Regions from separate parts of the Mus musculus genome. Here regions 2, 3, 4 and 5 are each reported to be linked to region 1. Evidence: microRNA targets listed by miRTarBase, many of them from high-throughput screens and not tested one by one. Region 1 holds a microRNA gene; each other region holds the end of a gene's coding sequence. Distances are from middle to middle.

Region 1 (4,120 bases):
GAAAGTAGGTGAAGTCCCATGCACACTGGCTACTTCACAGTCCCAGGGAATTGTTTGTTTCCTCGGGTAGGACAGCTTACTGTAATTATAAAGAAAAATGTTCTCCTTTTTTTTTTTTAATTTTTTATCTCAGTATTTCTTAAACAGTGCTGTGCCCCAGCAGCTGAGAGCAGAGCACCTGGCTGATCTTCTCTTTGCTTTCAAACAATTCAGTAAGAACCACATATGCCAGGGATAGGTAATAATGTAGATTATATATCTAAAGCAAAAAACGCTCAGTTGTTAATTCAGAAGGCACAAATACAGGAATTTGTTTGATTATCATTGAAAGTTAATGCCATGTAGTGAGCCCTGAAATTACATGGACTAAGCCGGCTGTAGTCACGTACTTAGGAGAATGTGTGTGTGTAACAGCAATTAAAAAGAGGCCATGGATTTGAGAATGAGCAGGAAGGGATAAAGGGGGAGAAAATGTTAATAATCATTTTAATGTCAGTACATTTGAAAAAAATATTTTAAAAAGAAATTTAACATACAACTTTTTAAAAAGGTATTCTTAAAAAGGACATTAACATTCTAATATCTGAAATGTTTCTAAATAGTTTTTTTTTTTTTTAAGGCCGTGGATGTGTAGTTATTGGAGTCCCTGACACATTCAAAAGAGTGACGGCAAACGGCCTGGCCTAGCAAGACCACATGTCAAGAGCTAATGGAAGGGAGACAAGAAAGAAGCCAGAAAGTCTCAGCACTCAGGAAGCAGAAGCAGGGCCTCTCTGAGTTACGAGGACAGCCAGGGCTACATAGTGAGACCCTGTTTAAAACTGTAATAGTAGTAGCAGTAGCAGCAGTACTGATGATAGTGATAATCTGTCAGATACCGAAGATTCAAAGCTTCACTTCTGGAGGAGAATTGAGTTAGCAAAAGACCTGAACTCACTACTGCAGTCTGGCAAAAGGGGGCAGGGTCTCATTAGCATCAGTGTGTTGCTTTGCCTTTGAGAGGATCCCAAATTGTGCTCACTTGTCGACTCTAACAGATCGATCTGGAAGTAAAAAGTGTCACGCTTATCAAAAGTGTGCTGAGCTCTGCCACGCTGCACCGTGAATGTGTAAGCCTCGTGCTCACTGTCCCACGTCTGCTCTCGGGTGAGGGCTCAGTTACCATTTGGAGGGAAGAATGCCATGAGTGACCGACATGTCACACCCCCACCCCCACCTGCTAGATGAGGTCAGCATAGGATCGCCTGAAATTAGGAACTATTGCACGGACTTCACCTTCCCTCTCCGTAGGAAGGCCACAAAAACAGACGACAAAGCTTCTTCAGGAAGCTGGTTTCATATGGTGGTTTAGATTTAAATAGTGATTGTCTAGCACCATTTGAAATCAGTGTTCTTGGTGGAGAACTACTTCGCTGCCGACCGCACAAAGAAATGAGTGTACAGCCCTGAAGTAAGTGTCCAGTGTCTAAAACAGGCTACCAGAGCCTGCCCTCGCCCACCCTGCTTACCTCTGTGTTATGGATAGCTGATTAGTCAACCACCGTTAGAATTGCATACTTGTTCATGTAATAAGCCTTCTCTGGAAGTGGACTCCACCATGCTCGGATGAAGACCTACATATACGACAGATTGAAGGCCTGGGCCTTCCCAGTGCACATGACCTCTTGTGACCCCTTAGAGGATGACTGATTTCTTTTGGTGTTCAGAGTCAATAGAATTTTCTAGCACCATCTGAAATCGGTTATAATGATTGGGGAAGAGCACCGTTCAGCTGACTACGTTATTGCTGACGTTGGAGCCACAGGTAAGAATTAAGAAACAAATACCAAAACATGCTAAGGTACATTTTCTTCCTATCTTAAACTTGACTTTCATTAACACGTGCCCCAGCAACAGCATGGTTAACTATTCACATAGTGATGGTGGGTGTGTTTTAGAAAGTGTGTATGGGTTGCAGATTTGACGGTAACTAGAGGATAAAGGGCCAAACCAATGACTGACCAGTCAATGTGAGAGGAGCAGGGGATATTTACTTCTATAAGGTTCTAACAGCTCACATAGGGATAGTCACCTAGCCTGCCTGACCACTGGCCATTGCATGGTTAGCTGTCCAGACCAGGAGAGCTATAAGTTAGATGTAACAGATGGTTCAGATAACTGGACCTGTGTCTGGGACTCAAGTAATAGGCATAAAAATAAGTGTGACAAACTCATGTCTGGTAGATGTGTCCAACCATTTACATTGCAATGCGATGTTGTCATCAACAAAGTTAACATTAGAGAATACAATGGGATTGCAAAAGATAATTTCGTGGGTTTTAAGTACACTTGTGATGTGTTGGACAGCATTCATAGCTATCCTGAGGGGAAGGGGGTGGGGTGGGGTGGCATGGGCCACAGGTTGGACACACCTAGCCTGTGGTATTTGTAGCCTTTCCAAGTGGTGCTTAAGGCTACATTTCCTCCTGGTTGAACTTTAACTAGACTTATAAATAAGGAAAATCAGATGAATCATACAAATGACTAAGCTTTGGCTAGATCTAAAAGGTTAGGCGAGATAGATTGTACAGTTTTTCCTTGGTAAACAAAACGGAACTCCTGCAGTAGACCTCGCTGCCCAGAACCCCAAATCCAAGTTTTCTGTGCTTGTGTTTCAGAATGAAAAGGCAAGCGGGCTGTTAGTATTGCTGAAGCGCTGCGTGTGTAAGTAATTCCTAACCCTGCTGCATCCCGACCTTCGTTCATAGCTCGTTCCTGTTGAGCCGAATGGGATCGCGTGTAGCCTCAGTTACTCCCGCATTACGCATTGTCCAAGTCAGCATCACGGCCTCGTAAAGCAGAAGAATGCGTTTGCTGCTGAGACTGAACAGCTTGGGTTGAACTGAAATGAAGAGGGAGTATACCACAGATACAGAATAGGAACAAAGTGACACAGCTACAGAAAACCCGAAGTGGAGCGTTTGAACCATTTTAGAGTATATAACACAAAGGCTCTTGAGCAAAGCTTTCATGGAGTTGTACAGATCAGCAAGGTCTAGTTCTCCTCACCTCGAAAGAAAACCTGAATCCAGGCATTCCTTACTCATTATGTACTTCCTGTCTCTGAGTGAAATCTGTTCTCTGTAGATTTACATGTTCTGAACATTTCACAGAATCACACCCTCTGTGAAATTCTCCATCCAGCTTAGTTCACTTAATGGGACGTTTTCATGGTTCTCTCACGGTGCGTTCATCCAAACTCGGTTCCCTTTTCATGACTAAATAATATTTCACTGTGTGGGCATGCCACATCTTGCTTATATACTTACCAGTTTGGCATTTAAATTGTCCTGTTCTGTTTTGTTTTTAAGTTTAATCTTCTAATATGATTCATGTGTTATATATCCACAGACTGCACTGGATTAGCACTGAGCCCTATAGCAATAAGTAGCTGTCCACTGCCGCACCTATATTTTCCCATTAGCTGTATCCTCAACTTTTATCTGTGTCTTCTGACTGCCTACATTTAAAGCGTTGCGCTGCTCTTCTTTCATTCTGACTTTCTTCCCTGCTCCCTCCCCCATGTGAGGATTTAACTTTAACAACCCTCATTCCCCCTTAAAGCAGCCGTTCCATTGACCCTCACAATCCAATTACAGCCCAGGTGAAGTCAAGGACTAGTGAACAACCCGGCCGCAAAAGGCCAGGTAGACAGCTGTCATGAAGAACCTGAGGTGCACATGAGTACACACATGCACATAGAAGAACTAGTGTTGGTAATGGGGAATATTGGTAATATAGAGAGGGATTTTTTTGTAGCCCACCCATACAGATTCACATTCCTTCAGAAACCTTATTAAATTCTGAGATGAGTAACTATCATTTTAAACGTTGTTTCCCTGAACTTTCCCATGCACTCCTCATAGCGACTGTGGAGCTTTCAGCTTCCCTCCCAGCGTGCTGGGACAGGCTTTGGTTTCTCGGAGCCCAGCTTCCTCCCACACTGGTCTGGGTGAGTGCCTTTCTCAGCTCTCTGGTTCCCTTGCTTCCTTCCTGGGCTAAATACATTCCAGGTCCTCATCTCTTTAATCCTCTCAGCCAGCTCCTGTCTGAGAGTCTGTCAGCCAGCTCCTGTCTGAGA
Region 2 (4,120 bases), 27 Mb from region 1:
TTAAAAAGTTTTTTTGGCATGAAAGATGCCGAATGCACCTTGTGTTGCTTGGGTGTCTACTCTTGGCCAGTATGCTAACTATGCTGATTTAGAATTTTAAATGACTTGGTTACTGTCCCCTCCCAGGATCCTCCTCTCCTGTGCCACTTTCTTCTCTCTCACATTCAGGGTGGAGGTGGCTAAAACTTCACTTGGCAAAGGGTCAGAGAAAGTCCTGCGAAGAATCAGTTAGAGCTGCGATTAGCTTGGAACAGATGACAGACCATGGGAGGGTCAAATCTTCTGGACATAACTCTGTAGCCATTTTCTTAGCCCAGACTCTAGGAATATTCACGATGGACCAACTGGTAAGTACTGGATTGTTCTAATAAGTGGTTTCTAAACAGAAGCATTTATCCAGAGAGGGCCTGTAGGAGGAGTGAAATCTGTAGAAGAGGCCAGTTGGCCAAATGTCACTGTTTTGTGTGAGACTGAGATTTGTATGAGGCCCTCTAACTGATACTGTCCTGTTATCCTGACATGGAACTTTGTCTAAAATACTACTCATACATAGGTTTATTCTGTCTTAGCAAGTGAGCTGGATAAACCTTAAGGACCCTGCTCTCAGAGGAGGTGTAGCCAGCTTTGGGCATCCTTCCTAGTGTTGCTCAGGTGAACTGGCACATGCTAGAGACCAGGTAAGCTCTCCTCGTTGTCTCAGGAAGAAGCTGAGTGGGATGGTAGATATCTCATTCTTAGAGATGACTACTCTTCCATCAAGATTGCTAGTAATTTCTTTTGAGACAATTTGTTGTAAATTGTACAGATCATGAAATTATATTATAGTAAATTTGGAAAATGTAGGACTAAAAAACCCATCTTGACATAATTGTCCTGCAAGCACCAACTCTTGGTATTTTTATAAGCATGTTTAAATAGATCTGTAAAGACAGGCTTTTGAAAGCAGGTTTTCTTTTGTTTAACCATCCTCATAATTGTTATTTGGGAATCAAAACTTTAATTTTTTTATTAGTATTTTGAACATAACACTGTTTTCTATTAAATGTTATTTATTTCCTCCTTTTATGTAGTGATGATGCAGTGGAGATAGAGTGATTATTGAGACTGTTAGCTTGGAAATCTGTTGGCAGAAGAGACTCAGATGTAACTATTCTAATGTGTATTTGAGCCACAGTTTGTCCTCACAAAATGCTGGTTCTCTTCCTCATATCACAAGCCAGAAGCCATACTTATATTCAGCCCAGAGACTTCTAACAATTTTATCACTTTATAACTTTGCCATTGCTATTCCAATGATTAATTTGAGGGCGTTACAGCGTTTTGATGACAGAGTTTGAGTTTTCTTTATATTGTGTGATTGGCTACATCGACTCAAGCTTGTCAGACATGGAATGTTAGAGACATCAAGGGCATGCAGAGACTTGAGTTACCTCCTTGGTACAGGAATCAGAATTGCACAGGCAGTACAATCACCGACTCCACAGGGGATCTGGACGAGGGGCAATGGCTGTGTACTTGTGCTCCCATCTGAGTATCCCAGTGCTCAGATTCTAGTGGGAGGAAGACCTGACCTGATAGTACTGTTTGGTTAGTAGACCTTGCTAACTTTTTAGAGTTAGTGTTAAATTTTTCCTCATGTTCGGTCTTTTGCTTTTAAACTAATTGAATCTTGAGATGACTTATAACAGGAGGCAAATATTACAATAACAATTACGTTCTGCAACAGGGGATAAGTTCTAAATGAATCTTAACATTTTACTTGACACATTACTATGTTTAAGTGTGTTAAAGATGTCATTGAAAGGTGCAGGGGAGGAAAATGAACTTGATTTGGCAGGTAGGTGTTCTTGGTACTATTATCCACAACTGTCTGTGCTGATTGACAGCACACACATTACCTCTTAACAGGCATTGTACTCAGTTGCAGCATATTTAACTGTGTGGCATTTTTACTGACTATTTGAAACTGTTTTAGTTAATAATATTAATTGTGCATAGACCAACTTTCAGCCATAGTTACAAAGTGCTTGATGGATAATGAGGCAAAAGTTTCTGTGGACCTTTGCTTAGAGAAAACAGAGATCAAGAGTATCATGTTGCTTAGGTACTATGCATTCTGAGGAGTCACAGATGCGTCACAGTGAAGAATAGAATTCCTCTCCATGTTACCAGGTTGGAAGCAGAAACCCAGGCACAGAGGCTGAAGGTCACTTAGCTCCAAGGAACATGGCAGAAACTGGAGCTGAGTTTCTTCCTGAGTCCTTCCTTGTTCTGAGATCTTTCTACATTATTATTATTATTATTATTATTATTATTATTATTATTAATTATTATTACTGTATAATTTCTTTCCACTGAGGTTTACTTGTTCTAATGGCTGGTAGAGATGCAGATTCATATGGCAATGAGCATCAAAGCAAGGAATTTTACTCAATATTTTCTTTTGGAAAACCAAAAATGCTTTATTTTATTTTTCACAATTTATTTAAACATCTCACATATACAAAATAGGTACAATTCAATTTTTCTGCTTGTCCAAGAAACAAGACTTCTTTGGAACCATGGGCAAGAAGGAAAATGAGGCTGTTAAAGAATGAATGCTGAATCTAATGAAGAGAGAACCTGGGGCAAGTGGCCTGCATTCCTGTAGTTGGGGATAAGATGAGAAAGAGGACTGCTAAGTCAAATTTAAAAATCACACACAATGCACATCAATGTGGAGGATTGTTTCTTCTGTAATTCTTCCAGCACCGTTCATATTCTTCAAGTATCTGAAATACTACTAATTAGCACCTTTGTGTTGCAAGCAAAACAAAACAAGTACCTCAGTTCGTGTCAGCCTTGGTCAACTCTCATTGGGATGGTCTACACTCACTGCAAAGTGTCTTGAGGTAGTTCAAACCTTTGGAAGTTTGGGTTTTAAACTTCCCTCTGTGGAAGATAGTCAGAAGCCACAAGTGGTGCGAATGTTCATGGGTTTCTTTTTATTTTATTTTTCAATTTTTATTTGGGTTTTCTTACAAAGGTTGACAATGTCCACAACAGGTGTCAGGGTGTTAAAAAAAAACCCACAAAAATAACACTGCAAACATTTTGGGGAGGGGCCAAGGGAGGAGACTTAGTTGGATCATATTGCACACTGCTCTGACCAATCCTTCTCTTTTGCCCACAGTTTAAGATGTAGATGCATAGAAGACATGGAAGGATTCAGCTTTCAGTTTTTGTTTTTTGTTTTTTTTTTTAAAGGAGGAAACGGCAAAGAGAAAGTTTTTTCAGGGGTTTTTGGTTTTTAATTTAGGTTGAGTTCACTTATTTGAAACAGACGGGGCCAACCTCCACACGGAATTCTTGGTCAGCACCACCAATGTCCAGAGGTGCAATGTCAAGGAACGGCAGGCGAGATGGCTTATTTGTTTTGTATTCAATGATTGTCTTGCCCCATTCATTTGTCTTTTTCTGTATAATAGAAAAAAATGGGAAAAAAGGAAAATACATCAGACCAGTATAGCTGCACCTGACTTATATCTAAGCATCGGGGTCTAGGAAAGCCATTTCTCGGCAGCCAACACTTTCTGAAGATAGGGGTTCCTGATTAAGACGTTCACTGTAGACAGACAGTGTCAAGGATGTCTTTCAGGGAATGATAACTTCTTTAGGATAAGTTTCAAATATGTTTGGATACATATTCTTTTCAAGGTGAGTGTATGGTGTGTGTATGTGTGTATGGTGTGTTTGCATATCTTGTATGTGTGTGGTGTGTGTTTCTGTATGTTGTGTGTATGCATCTTGTGTGTATGTCTGTGTATGTATAGAGAATTGGGTAGGTATACAGTAATTTTACACTTAAAACTTTATTCTAACTTAGAGCATATTATATAAAACATATACTCTTTTATATAGGTAAAAGTCTACAGAAAAATTGAATGTAGCCATATTCTAAGGTGCAACTGAAGCATTTTAAACCTCAATAAGTTTTAAATTCTTGGTATATGTTAATACATAGGAACTCTAAATGCTGAGAGGAAAGCAGGGACTGTGTGGGCATAGGAGTCAGCTCAGTGTGTGAGAGTTGCAAAGAAGGTGGTATCTAATACGAATTTCTGTATTAGAATTCAGAGAA
Region 3 (4,120 bases), 120 Mb from region 1:
CATAAATATATACATATAAACAGGAGGGAAGTAAACTTTTTTTTTCAAAATGAGAAACTCAGCTGATCTGAACTCACTCAGCATTCCTAGAAAATTTTCTCATGTTTCACTGAGAATCCACTTTTCAATTGAAAGAAACTGAGTCAGCATAACTTAAACAGGCTTTCTTTTACCAACTGTAGGTACAATGACTGGTTCCTTATCTGAGGTGCAGCCATGCTCTACAATGGACAGGGAATAGGTGTTAGGTCACTTGGCTCAATTGTATTAAAAAAATATGTGGCACCTGACAGTTGTTTTGTCTGCCTAAACCTAGACTTCTTCCTTTAGAAAAGTATAATAGCTGTTTAGCTTATACAGGAATCGCAATGACTAACACATGTGAAGAATTTACCCTTGCCTGGTACCCAGTAAGAGTTCTAATGTTGGTTGTATATTGCCCTTCTTGCCCAGAAGGAGTAAGAGGGCAGTGCAGAACTGACTCTGATCCTCTCACAGCAGAAACCATTCAGAACCCAAGCCACCCTGAAGAGGACTCCTTTCAAACCTCTACGCATTAATAATTTCTTTGAGTGAACTATAAAAAGAAAGAAAAGTCTGCTTTGGATATGCTATGTCTACTTGGATAGAAACTAGGGTGTCTGTAATTCTCTAAATTGTTTTTCTTTCAACAAATCACCCCCCATGGAGACAGGAAGCACCTAAATTTAGTAATCTCAGAACAGAAGGAATACATCTGCACTACTGCCTTATGGAAATTCTTTTTTTTTTTTTTAAAGATTTATTTATTTATTATATGTAAGTACACTGTAGCTGTCTTTAGACATTCCAGAAGAGGGCGTCAGATCTCATTACAGATGGTTGTGAGCCACCATGTGGTTGCTGGGATTTGAACTCAGAACCATTGAAAGAGCAGTCAGTGCTCTTATCCGCTGAGCCATCTCGCCAGCCCATGGAAATTCTTAAAGCAGTAGTATTACAACTCTGTCCAAGAAAACTAGATTTGTCACAAAATAAACAAAATTTTGGTCAGGGATGGCAATGTACAAAGTGTTAGTGCTAACAGCAGACAGGGCAGACATGTCAGGCCCTTCATCATTGAATTCCTCCAATGTCCATTTTCTTCCTTACTTTATAAATCATCATCATCATTGCCAACAGAAGCAATTTTCCAAGATTACACATGTAGGTATGTAAGAGGTAGAATTACAAGGTAGAAGTCTGACTCCAAAGCCCATTTACTCACACATGTAGTCTGCATTCATGGAGCATCTGTACTGCATTGACACTACCCTAGTGCCCCAATTGAGGGAGGCTGCTTTGTGGAATCTAGACTACAGGTGTCCGGGTCTCCAAACACTATACTATACTATAAAATCCCTCTCAGATCAACTTGAGCATTCATACTAATATTCAGTTACTTATATAATTGAAATTATACAGAACTGGCTACTACTATAAATGCCATCAATACATTAGTAAAGAACATTTCTGAGGGGCTGGGGAGATGGTTCAGTAATTAAGAGTATATGTTATTCTTGCAGAGGACCTAGGTTCAATTCTCAGTACCCACATGGTACTTCACAACCATTCTAACTCTGCTTCCAGGAGATCCAATGCCCTCTTCAGACCTCCCCAAGTACCATGCATACATGTGGTGTACATAAATATATACAAACAGAATACACATAAAAAATAAAGTCAATAAATAAAAAAAAAAGAAAATAGTTCTGAGATAAATAAAATAGTTCTGAGATAAATATCCTCTTACTTGAAGTGGTATTGATCAGCTTTCTAAGAGACATTAATCAGAAGACACTGTCTAGTGACTATTTATCAATGTACTTTGGGGGCTGGGAATGCAGCTCAGTAGTAGACCCCTTGACCTAACATATGAGAGAGCACAGGTTCAGTCTACAACACTGGGGGCAGTGTTCTACTTACTTAGGCAATAGACCACATAACATACTAGCTTTGGATATATTGTTTCTGTATTGGTGATTATCCAGCAAAGGCAAGAATACATATAGTCTGCAAATAACAGCTACTCATCTTAGACACACACATGGAATCATGTTTGAGCTGATCCTTGCTTGATACAAACCCTCCTCTGGTAGGAGAACAAAAGATACATTTATGTATATTAGTAAGTAGACTCTAAAGATCATATCCAGATTCCAGAGGCTTGGTACCAACAGAAACCAAGTAAATGAGGATGAAAGACACTGTGGAGATGAGAAAGTTCTGATGGGATGATTCTAGGCCGTGGGTAGTCACTTAGGATGGAGGGAACTAGAAACTGTTTTGGACAGCTTAAAAATCAAATATGAACTGTCAGCAAACTCTCCTCTCAGTGCCTAGGAACTCAAGGAAGTTTTTTTTCCTGTTTGTTTTGTTTTGTTTTGTTTTGTTTTGTTTTGTTTTGTTGAGTCAGGGTTTCTCTGTATAGCTCTGGCTGTCCTGGAACTCACTCTGTAGACCAGGCTGGCTTTGAACTCAGAAATCTGCTTGCCTCTGCCTCCCAAGTGCTGGGATTAATGGCATGCACCACCACTGCCTGGCTCAAGGAAGTTTTAAACATGCCTTTAAAACACTTCATTTCAGATAAAGGGAAAATAATCACTGCAAATATTCTTTTGGGAATTCAGATTTGAGTTTTTCTCTCCATTTTCCTCCTTTCCTCTTTTTCTTTTATAGATTTTGAAGACAGCTATTCTGTATCAAAAGCTGGCCTTGAACTCACTATATACCTCATTCTGATTCAAACTCCACCTCTTACCACAGCCTCCAAACTGCTCAGATTACAGGTATGTACTACCACAAATGGCTTTTCAATTCAGTTTTAACAATGGGACTGAGTAAACAGAAAATGGAAACCATTAAAACTGTCCTAGAATGGACATCAGATAAGTTTTATATATAATTTCATATATTTTCCCTGTTTGTTTACCTGAGAATTGTATTTGAAGGACAAAAAAGTAAAAGAAAAGTAGGTCAAATAACTTAACAATTACATGTTTAAGATTGGAGGCAATGAAACACTGGAATAATTCAAGTATTTTCTCACAAAGGGGAAATGAAGCAGCCTCTATTCTATCAACTAGTGGTTGATGACATAGCACTAACTCCTGTGCATGCTCATTGGAAATATGAACAAGGGTGAAGTCATGTAGCCAATTCATGAAAAACATGCAATAACATAAAGATGCATAGGTAGTTATGGTCTTGGGAAGGGGAGCTGACATGCAGCTGGTGGGAGAAGGAAGGACCTGTGAATTTACCTGACCGTTGGGTAGTCTTGCCTCCCAGCTAGTTGTGAGCACTGTGGCGGTACGGAGGCAGCAGGCTGCTGACAATCTACAAGAAACTAATAAATTAGACATGTATACAAAGAGATGACACAATGGTGTTAGCAACAGTAACTAAATCAGCTGCCTGAGATTTAGTGAGGAACGGGAACGTTTACTTAGAAACATCTAGATTAAGTGTGGTTTTTTTTTTTTCTTTTGTGGGTGTGTTTTTTTCCTTGACTAATGCCAATAGAAAAGACTGAATTTTTAATTAATGTCTTAGAAAAAAACTAATGACATAAAATTAGTAGCAAGATTTTAATAGTACATTATGTCCTATGGCCATTCATATTTGGTGTTTTGATTACTCTAAAATCAGAATCTATTAATATTAAAAATTCTAACTCCTGAACTTGAACATAATGCTGATTATTTAATTAGCAAACAGATATGCTGTTCTAAAATGAAATATATTCAGGAAATAGATTTTATTGTCAGGGCATATAGTAATATTGTTAAACACAGATATTTTGAGAAAGCCAAACAATATTTTATTAACAAGAAATTAAACAAGAAAATTATATTTACAGTTTTCTGGAAATTGATTGTATGTGTTGAAAAGAATTGCTAGCAGAAATCTTAGATGATTCATTATATAATAAAATTTTAATAAACAGGACTGATGAAGGAAACCAGCCTTATTAATGGTGCTCACTTTGTTTTGTTTTTATTACTTTAAAATCACATACTATAACTCTCATTAGATTAAATAAATTTTATAACTTGTTATTATGTTAATCAACAATTCCAAGAAAATAGGTATATAACCC
Region 4 (4,120 bases), not on the chromosome of region 1:
AAAGTGAGCAAGCTGCTGGACACCTGCAATCGCAGCATTTGAGAGGCAGAGGGAAGAGGGTCACAAGTTCAAGGTCATCTCTGGCTCTATAGTGAGCTGGAGGCCAGTCAGAGCTGCATGTCATCCAGCCCATTCCTGGGGAAAGAAAAGCCCCCAAACCAAGGTCTAGAATCCACAGGGATTTTAGGATCTTAAATCTAGAATCAAGATTGGGGTTCTAAGGCTTAGAACTAGAGAAATATAGAAGGCAAGATATCCGCTGATATTTTCAAACTCTGTTCTAGATTCAGGGTACTTTGAGTTGTTAAGATCTGAAGTAAAGAGGACTGGGCAATTGTGGGGTCTAGAACCAAAGAAACTCATGGGATAGGTCTAGATGCAGAAGACATTTATAGAGGCTGGGTGTAGCTCAGTTGGTAGAGTACTTGCCTAGCATGCATGAAGCTCTGGCTTCAGTCTCCAACACCACATACAACTAGGCATGTCTGTAACCCCAGCACTTGGTGGGGTGGGTGAAGGGGTATCACGGATTTAAAATCATTTGGCTACATAGCAATTTTATGGTCAATGAATTTAAGACACTGTCTCAAAACAGTAACAAACCCCAGAAGATATTTGCTGTTTGTTTTGTTCTGTTTTGTTGATTTTGAGACAGGGTTTCTCCATGTAGCCCTGGCATCCTGGAACTTGCTCGATAGATCAGCTGGCCTCAAACTTAGAGATTTGCCTCCTTCTGCTTCCTAAGTGCTAGGATCAGAGACGTGCACCACCACTGCCCACCTTGATATTTGAAGCTCAGTAATAGGCAGATCACCAGAGCATCTGAGAACAGAGGATCCTGGAAGTTTCGGGGTCTAGAGTTTACATAATCTAAAACATGGGTAATGATTAAAGGTAATGAAATCCAGAACCCAAAAGAATGGGCACGTGGTATGTGGTTCCAGAAAGGCCAGATCCAAGTTCAAGACATAAAACTCACTCCACTCCTCCTTACTGGGGGAAAGCACAGGGGTCTGAAGAACAATAAACTCGACATCATGAGGTTTGGAACCAAAATGATCTAGAAATCAGGTCTGGATTTGAAACCAACTGTCTTACAGATTAGAAAGACCGGAGCTAATAAGAAGCTTGGAGTTGGGGAATCCAGAAACAAGAGGAGATCGCCAATTATAAGATTAGCTGGCCCCAGTCTCAAAGGCCTGTAATTCCCAGCTACTCGGGAGGCTGAAGCAGGATGAGTTCAGGGTCTATCTGAACAGACTTGAGTTCAAGGTTAGTCTGTGCAACCAATAAAGATCCTGTCTCAAAATAAGACATAAGACAGGACTGGGGAAAGCTCCGTGGTAGAGTGCTTGCCTAGCACGTGCAAGGCCTGAGGTTTAATCCTTGCTACTACACACACCAATGGTCTGCAATGACAGGCAGCAGAGGGCATGAGAACCAGAGGATTTTTAAGAAGAGGCCTAGAACCAGAGGAAATTACAGAATAAGCCTTGAAGCTAGAGGATTCTTGGTGGTTGTAGGCTTTAGATCCAGAGAGCTTTACAGATTATGTAATTCAAACCCCACTTTAAAATGGCAGATTGGGAGCTGTGAGATCCAGCCCAAGAAAGAACTAAAGAGTATGAGATGTGGAAGTAGAGGGGTTTGAAGAAATTGAGGTCTTTAACAGACCATGTTGGAAATGATGCTGTCTAGAACCAGGGGGGAAGCCAATGATAACACAGTGTAGAACCAGGGGGAAGTCAATGACAGCACAGTCTAGAACCAGGGAATGCCAGAGAAGGCTAGTGGTCATCTAGTTTAGAACCAGTGAAGACCAGAGGCAGCATAACCTAGAATCAAAGAAGCTCATAGGCTGTAGAGTCTAGAACAGCAGCTCTCAATCTGTGGGCTGTGACCACTTTGAGGATCAGATATCAGATATCCTGCATACCAGATATTTACATTATGATTCATAACAGATGCAAAATTACAGTTATGAAGCAGCAATGAAATAAATTTATAGTCAGTGGTCACTACAACATGAGAAACTGTATTAGAGGGTTGCAGCATTAGGAAGGTTGAGAACCCCTGTTCTAGAACCACAGAAAACCAGAGGGCCTAAAGTCTAGAATCAGAGAAAAGGCCAGAGAAGTGGCATGGTCTAGAACCAGAGCCAGGTCCAAAGGCCTGCAGTCTAGAGTCAGGTAAAAGACTGGAGACTGTACAGACTAGAACTAGAGAATGTCAGAGATTGAACAGTCTAGAACAAAAGAAGGCAGGAACAACACAGTTTAGAACCATGGAGGCCAGAGGCCACAGTGTCTAGAACAAGGGAAGGCCAGAGGTCATGAGTCACAAACTAGAGGAGACCACTGGTGGTACAGTCTACAGCCAATGAAGCTCACAGGTTTCACATTCTAGAAACAGAAAAAAGATGAGAAATATGGAGTCAGAGAGCCAGGGAAAAGCCATGGATTGTATGTTTTAGAACCAAGAAGTAGAAAGTCTAGAATCAGAGAACCCAGAGATCTCTAGAACCAGAGAAGGCCCAAGGGTTTTCAGTCTAGAGCCAACAAAGACCAGGAGCTACATGTCTAGGTGCAAGGAAGAGAGAAAGTGGTATAGCCTAGGTCCAGGGAAGGCTAGAAGTTGCACAGTCTACAAACAGTAAAGGTGGGAGTCAAGTATTCAAGATCCAGAGATTATAGGTCTGTGGAGTGGAGGAAGTCGCTGGCTCCCCCTAACACAGGAAGATCACAAATGAAGTCATTATTTAGGCAGCGTCTGGGGCCAGCATGAAGTCAGGAGCAGACATGGCAAGCAGAGCTGGGGGGCAGTTGGAAGGCTGAGACTCCATAAGTTGTTTGAGGTGAAATCTGACCCAGAGTCTTCCCACATTTGCCACGGAAGAGGGGGAAGACCAGAGTCTCACAATTGCTGTGGATCTGTGCAATGCAGAGTGACTGAATGCCCTATTGTGAAAAGGACAAAGTCAAGCCGATAGAAGAGGAACAGGGAGAAAACAAAAAACAAACAAAAAAACCAAAACAACAACCAAAAAATGTGATTACAGTTGTCTAAGCTCCATGGGGCCAGGATCAGAGATGGATCTCCGATTCTCCCAACCCCTCATTCTCCCAAATAAAGCAAAGAGAGTCAGAAAAAGGGGTATTGAGGTATGGAGAACTGTGGAGAACCCCAAAGGAAGTCCTGAGAGGAGGTGGGGAGGGTCACACACCCCTCCCAAAGGTCACTGAGCTGAGAATACCCAAGAAGCCTCCGACTGGGGGCAGCAGAAGGTTGGGGGGCTGAGGTAGGACTGTGGCTGGCTGGGGGGGGCACACTCAGAGGAGAGAGGCCCCATCCTGGGTGTAGGCTGCTGGTGTGGAGTGTGGCTGAGTCCTTTCTGGGATAGAAGAAGAGGGCTGAGAGGAAGGCTGACTCAGTGGGTCTGGCCCAAGCCTGCTGCTGGCGGGAAGCGGTTCCTGGGCTGGACAGTTTCCTCATGCTGGCAGAGAGAGAGCAGCGAGGGAGCTAGGCCTGCAGAGAAAAGGGAGGCGAATCAGGAGAGAATCAGCACCCATATACGTACGTGCATCTAAGGCAGGGAGGCAGGCTGGCAAGATGGCTCAGGGGGTTCAGGTGTTTGCTGCAAACCTTGACAATCTGAGTTCAGTCCCTAGAAACCATAGACAGGTTGGAAGGCAAGAACAGGCCACTGGGTTCCATCCCCAGGACCCACCAGAGGCTCCAAGAGAAGCCAAAGCTTTTGGTAGCTGAGGGAAAAATCTCCATAAAAAGGCAAACAAGCCGAAAGGCTGCAGAGCCAGCACTGCCCCACCCTGCAGCCACAGAAGGAGGTGTTTCTCGGACACTTACTACAGGACAGTTCTTGGGTGAATTCTGCCCATGCAGCATCTCCACAGTTCATGTCTCCAAACAGGCTCTCCAGGGAAGAACTGTAGCCATAGCCCCCACTGACAGATAGAGGAGCCGAGGCTTCACAAGCAGCCGACCCAAAACCTCATGGCTGGGAGTTACCTTGTGGAGCTATCTTAACCTGGCTAAGCTCTGAAGTGGACTTGTATCTGGGTCCAGGAGACCTTGGCTTCCACCCCAAGGGGTAGCCTTCCTT
Region 5 (4,120 bases), not on the chromosome of region 1:
CTGTTCTATACACACATTTAGAGCACATACCAGCCCATGCCACGTGACAGCCGCTGCGGGGTGCTGCAAACAAGGCCTATCACAAGGTGCACATGCCCTTGTGTATATCCACGTGTGTACATGTATGTATATGTATAGATTTTCAGGCGCACAGTGAGAAGTTATTCGCTCCTTTGTCTGGAGTTCTGTTTCCTTCAGCCCATTTGTAGCTATTAATTAATTAATTAATTAATTAATGATTGCAGTAGTACAAGTTAGGACTACTGTCCTTTATCACGGGGAGACACATTTCAAGTGCTTGACTACCTGTCACGCCAGGAAGCTGTCATTTGCTCCCTTTCTTGGCTAGTTTGTTTGTTCTTCCTCTCACCTTCACCCTCACCTTTCCACAGCTCTGTACTTATATCCTCCGGAGGACCTCTCTCACCATCTTGCCTCTCCCTGGTACCTATGGAGACTGTGCCCAGCCCTGCACAGAATTGTCAGGCCTGAAAAGAACATAGTGGACCATGACCACGGGAGCCTGGTAATAACATACCGGCTAATGGGCTGATGGTGTGTTGGGACCTCAGAGGGCTTGGTTAGGGAAGAGGGGAGGAAACCTGCCCTTGGAGGATGAGGGATTAGTCAGTAGAGAGAGGGGACATTATGCCAGGAATACGGAGGGAAATAAAATGAGAAGGAGGGTTATATGTGTAGAAATTACAGTCACACCCTTTGTCTGGTATGACAGATGGGGGCTCGTGGAGGAGACAGTAAGTTCAGACAAGCGAGCAGTGGCCAGGTACAGCTCGGATGCTGAGTTCAGAAGGATGGACCCTGTGAGGATGGGAGGAGATAGGGTCTAGCCAGGAAGAGTCCCAAGACTGGTGATGCCTGGGAAGAAAGGTTTTACCCAATCAACGTGTCAATCAGTGGGTCTATCAGTACTACAGGAGTTTGGATAATTTGTGTCTGAATAGATCTTTACATTCCCTAACTTCTTTTCCTCTCTAGATAAATTTTCCTTTCACGTTGTCCTCATGCAAAGTGCTAATAATAAATTATTAAAGGCCATCATTAATAGTCTTGGATACTCCGTGACCATATGAACGTGTCCTATGGGTGCCACAGTAGACTGGTAGCACAAGAGAGGGAAGCTACAAATGGCCTGTTCCTTCCTTTCAAATTTGAGACCTGTCTCCCCGAGTGAAAGGGGTCATCTGTGTCCTTATGTCTACTGTCTGGTTCACCCCAGACTTCTGCCTGCTGGATTCTCGGGCCTTCTACTATGTCACCGTCCCCATTCTCTGAGATGTGGGGGACAATTAGTTACCATCCCTCTAGGGCCTCAGGTTCTCAGATGGACAGAGGGAGAGAGGGAAAAGGAAGAAGAAAAAGCAAAAAGTTTTGGGGATAAAGGAAAAGGAAAGAAGGGGGCAGGAAGAAGGGGGGAACAATTCCACGGGCTCCCTGTACCGAGCCAGCATGCTATCGTCCCGGGCACCTCTGTGATGTGGGGTCCTGTCCTTTCTGGTGACACCCCGGAAGTTCCACCACAGCTCTCTAAGATCCCCCGGGGAGAGTTCCTTGAGGGCTGGGCACCTCTCTCTGGTGAGATCAAGGGTGACCCAAGAAATTCTCATCCTCCTTGTGACACCCCAGCATTAGAAGGCCCCTTCTATACTAAATTATGGTTTCTTTGGGCTAGAGGTGGGGAGAGGCCAGCTACCCCTCCATGTGTGACCAAGGAGCAACCTGGTCCTCCATGTCTCAGTCCCTGTTTCTGCTGCTTGAATCCCTTTGAGGGCTCATGAACCTCCCAGGATCCATGGGCAACACCTCCCAGGCCTCAGGTCTGCAGCATGGAGATGTGATGTATTGTTGGGATGGCGGGCCTGAGGTGTGTGTGTGTGTATGTGTGTGTGTGTGTGTGTGTGTGTGTGTGAGAGAGAGAGAGAGAGAGAGAGAGAGAGAGAGAGAGATCTGGGAATGAAGTACGTGCGAGCATGTCCGCAATGCTGTGCACCTGGGATGATTGAACTGGTGAAGCTGGGGATCTGGGGATGCACAAGGAAGACTGGAAAGAGGAAAAGGTAAAAGAGGCAAGAAAAAAGGTCTAAGGCATAAGACAGGCAAGAGAGGAAGGTGGCAATATCTGGATGAGAAGTGAGGGAGAGAGAAAGGGCAGGGGTAGAAGGCAAGTCCCCCATCCCAGAGCCCTGTCCCTGGATCCCCACCTCCCCACGTCCCAGGAAGGAAATTCAGAGGCCACTGCACATGCATTGGGTCATTTCCACATGCTTTATTCCAGCAATCAAAATAATTAAAAACATCTCAAATTATTATACACATACAAAATAGGTACAGAGTCTCTTGTTTCCTCCCAGCCCAGGGGTAAAAACTGTTTTGTGCTTTGGAAAGTGGTGCTCTGAAACCCTGATGCAGGACAGACCAAGAGAGAGGCAGAGGGGAGGGAGCAGCAGCAAGAGGGGAGGGTTTCAGAAGAAAGAGAGAGATCAGATAGGCCCAGGAACTAGAAGAGTGGAGAGAGAGTAGAGAGTGGGCAGGGTGAAGTCCCCGCACTCTCTTCTCCCTTGTTAAATAGCACCTTCAGGAAAAAAAACAAAACAAAACAAAAAAAAACAAAACCAAAAAAAAAAAAAAAAAAAACCCCAACAATTCACACAAGTCCCTATCCATTAAAAAAAAAAAAAAAAAGAATAAAAAATACTTTGAACAAAAGAAACATTTGCTGGTCTAGGGAGCATCTCAGCTTCTATAGCACCAGAAATTCCTTCCCACCCCACCCCTTCACAGAGATGTAGCACCTTTGATACCAAACTGGGCGTGCTGCCACCCTGCCCCCATCCCCGCCCCCACACAGTTGCCCCGGTGACACACAAAGACAAGAACGAGGTAGTCTTTCAGCAACACAATTGCACTGAGGAATAGAACGGTCTCTCCCACCCAGCCTGCACATGCATGTCCGATGTTTCCAGTCTGCTGTGACCCTGCCTGGCTCCAAACCCCTGAGAGGGGCAGGTGGCTGCCCAAAGCACAGGCCCTCCCTGGGGGGGGGGGGAGAGAAAAAAGTGGGGGGTTTGTTGCAGAGGCCATGGAGATGCCAGATGGTTAGGTTCCTTCAACAGTCCAAGAACCCCATGTCCCAGCAGGATTTGAGGGTGCTGGGTAGGGAAGTAGACGGGGTTGAGGGGCTGGTGGGACATTTCAGCATTGCCTTTGTTTGCTGGGCAGACAATGCATTATTTCCTGTGTCTTGGGGGAGACTTAAATTTGGGGAGCAATGGAGGAGAGGCCCCAAGAGGGGGTGGAGAAAGGAGCAGAAAAGGCAGCATTAGGGTATCATAAGCCAAGTGGGCAGGAAGGGACTTATACCCACATAGGTCTTCAAGCAAGAGGACCAAGCTTCCTTTTTTAAAAAGTTATTTATTTATTCTTTTTTTTTTTTTCTTTTTTGGTAAGGTTGAATGCACTTTTGGTTTTTGGTCACGTTCAGTTGGTCAAAGGTAAAAACTAAGTTTGAAAGGTGAATGCAAAGGAAAAAAAATGTTTTCCAAAGTCCATGTGAAATTATCTCCCATATTTTTGGCTTTTGGGGGAAATTGAGTTTGGGTTGTTCGTCTGTTTCCAGGGTTGGGGAAAAGTGGGCTGGGTGGGAGGGAACCAGATTGGGGTGGAGGGAGTTTACACGAAGCAGGCAGGGCCAATGTCTAGTCCGAATTCCTGGTCTGGGGCACCAATGTCCAAGGGAGCCACATCGATGATGGGCAGGCGGGAGGTCTTGGTGGTTTTGTATTCGATGACTGTCTTGCCCCAAGTTCCGGTGTGACTCTGGTGTGAATGAAGACAGCGGGAGAGGGTCATTACCAAGGTAGGAATGAAGTGAGGCTCACTCTGTTCTGCCAGAAGGCTAAACCAGATGCCCAAAGAGACAGGCTGGACCCAGTCTGGGGGACTCACCGTGCAGCCGTCCACAAGGGTGCTGTAGGTGAAGCGACTGTTGCCTTCGCCTCTGAGCTCGATCTCGTTGGATCCCTGGAGGAGCAGGGCCTTCTTGAGGTTGCCAGTCTGCTGGTCCATGTAGGCTACGCTGTTCTTGCAGTGATAGGTGATGTTC

What was found. The annotated mature microRNA mmu-miR-29a-3p reads UAGCACCAUCUGAAAUCGGUUA and lies in region 1 at 1,723-1,744, shown strand. An mRNA with a match to its seed (bases 2 to 7 or 8) in the 3' UTR can be bound and repressed. Matches are read on the target gene's strand: a 7mer-m8 pairs with bases 2 to 8, a 7mer-A1 pairs with bases 2 to 7 and ends in A, and an 8mer does both.
Region 2: the mRNA of Col1a2 is a reported target of mmu-miR-29a-3p. Seed matches in the 3' UTR shown: 7mer-A1 at 2,788-2,794.
Region 3: miRTarBase lists Bicd1 as a target of mmu-miR-29a-3p. The part of its 3' UTR that is shown has no 7-base or 8-base seed match.
Region 4: the mRNA of Hif3a is a reported target of mmu-miR-29a-3p. The part of its 3' UTR that is shown has no 7-base or 8-base seed match.
Region 5: miRTarBase lists Col1a1 as a target of mmu-miR-29a-3p. Seed matches in the 3' UTR shown: 7mer-A1 at 2,805-2,811, 8mer at 2,762-2,769 and 7mer-A1 at 2,585-2,591.

Annotation. Positions count from the first base shown.
Region 1 is chr6:31,060,297-31,064,416 of GRCm38, reverse strand. It overlaps Mir29a (microRNA 29a), which reads left to right and starts at 1,670; the gene lies at 1,670-1,757. Mir29b-1 (microRNA 29b-1) reads left to right here and starts at 1,324; the gene lies at 1,324-1,394.
Region 2 is chr6:4,539,852-4,543,971 of GRCm38, reverse strand. It overlaps Col1a2 (collagen, type I, alpha 2), which reads right to left. Exons shown (of 52, transcript NM_007743.3): 52 at 2,429-3,456. The coding sequence ends at 3,310. Among named protein-coding and RNA genes, the nearest start is that of Col1a2, 36 kb to the right of the region's middle.
Region 3 is chr6:149,549,587-149,553,706 of GRCm38, reverse strand. Bicd1 (BICD cargo adaptor 1) reads right to left here. Exons shown (of 9, transcript NM_009753.4): 8 at 3,282-3,357. The coding sequence ends at 3,310. Gm38931 (a long non-coding RNA gene) reads left to right here. Exons shown (of 3, transcript XR_869630.3): 2 at 2,698-2,807. Among named protein-coding and RNA genes, the nearest start is that of Gm38931, 2.8 kb to the left of the region's middle.
Region 4 is chr7:17,032,441-17,036,560 of GRCm38, forward strand. It overlaps Hif3a (hypoxia inducible factor 3, alpha subunit), which reads right to left. Exons shown (of 15, transcript NM_001162950.1): 15 at 1-3,525. The coding sequence ends at 3,428. Among named protein-coding and RNA genes, the nearest start is that of Ppp5c, 6.6 kb to the left of the region's middle.
Region 5 is chr11:94,951,187-94,955,306 of GRCm38, reverse strand. Col1a1 (collagen, type I, alpha 1) reads right to left here. Exons shown (of 51, transcript NM_007742.4): 50 at 3,964-4,120; 51 at 2,265-3,834. The coding sequence ends at 3,688. Among named protein-coding and RNA genes, the nearest start is that of Hils1, 14 kb to the left of the region's middle.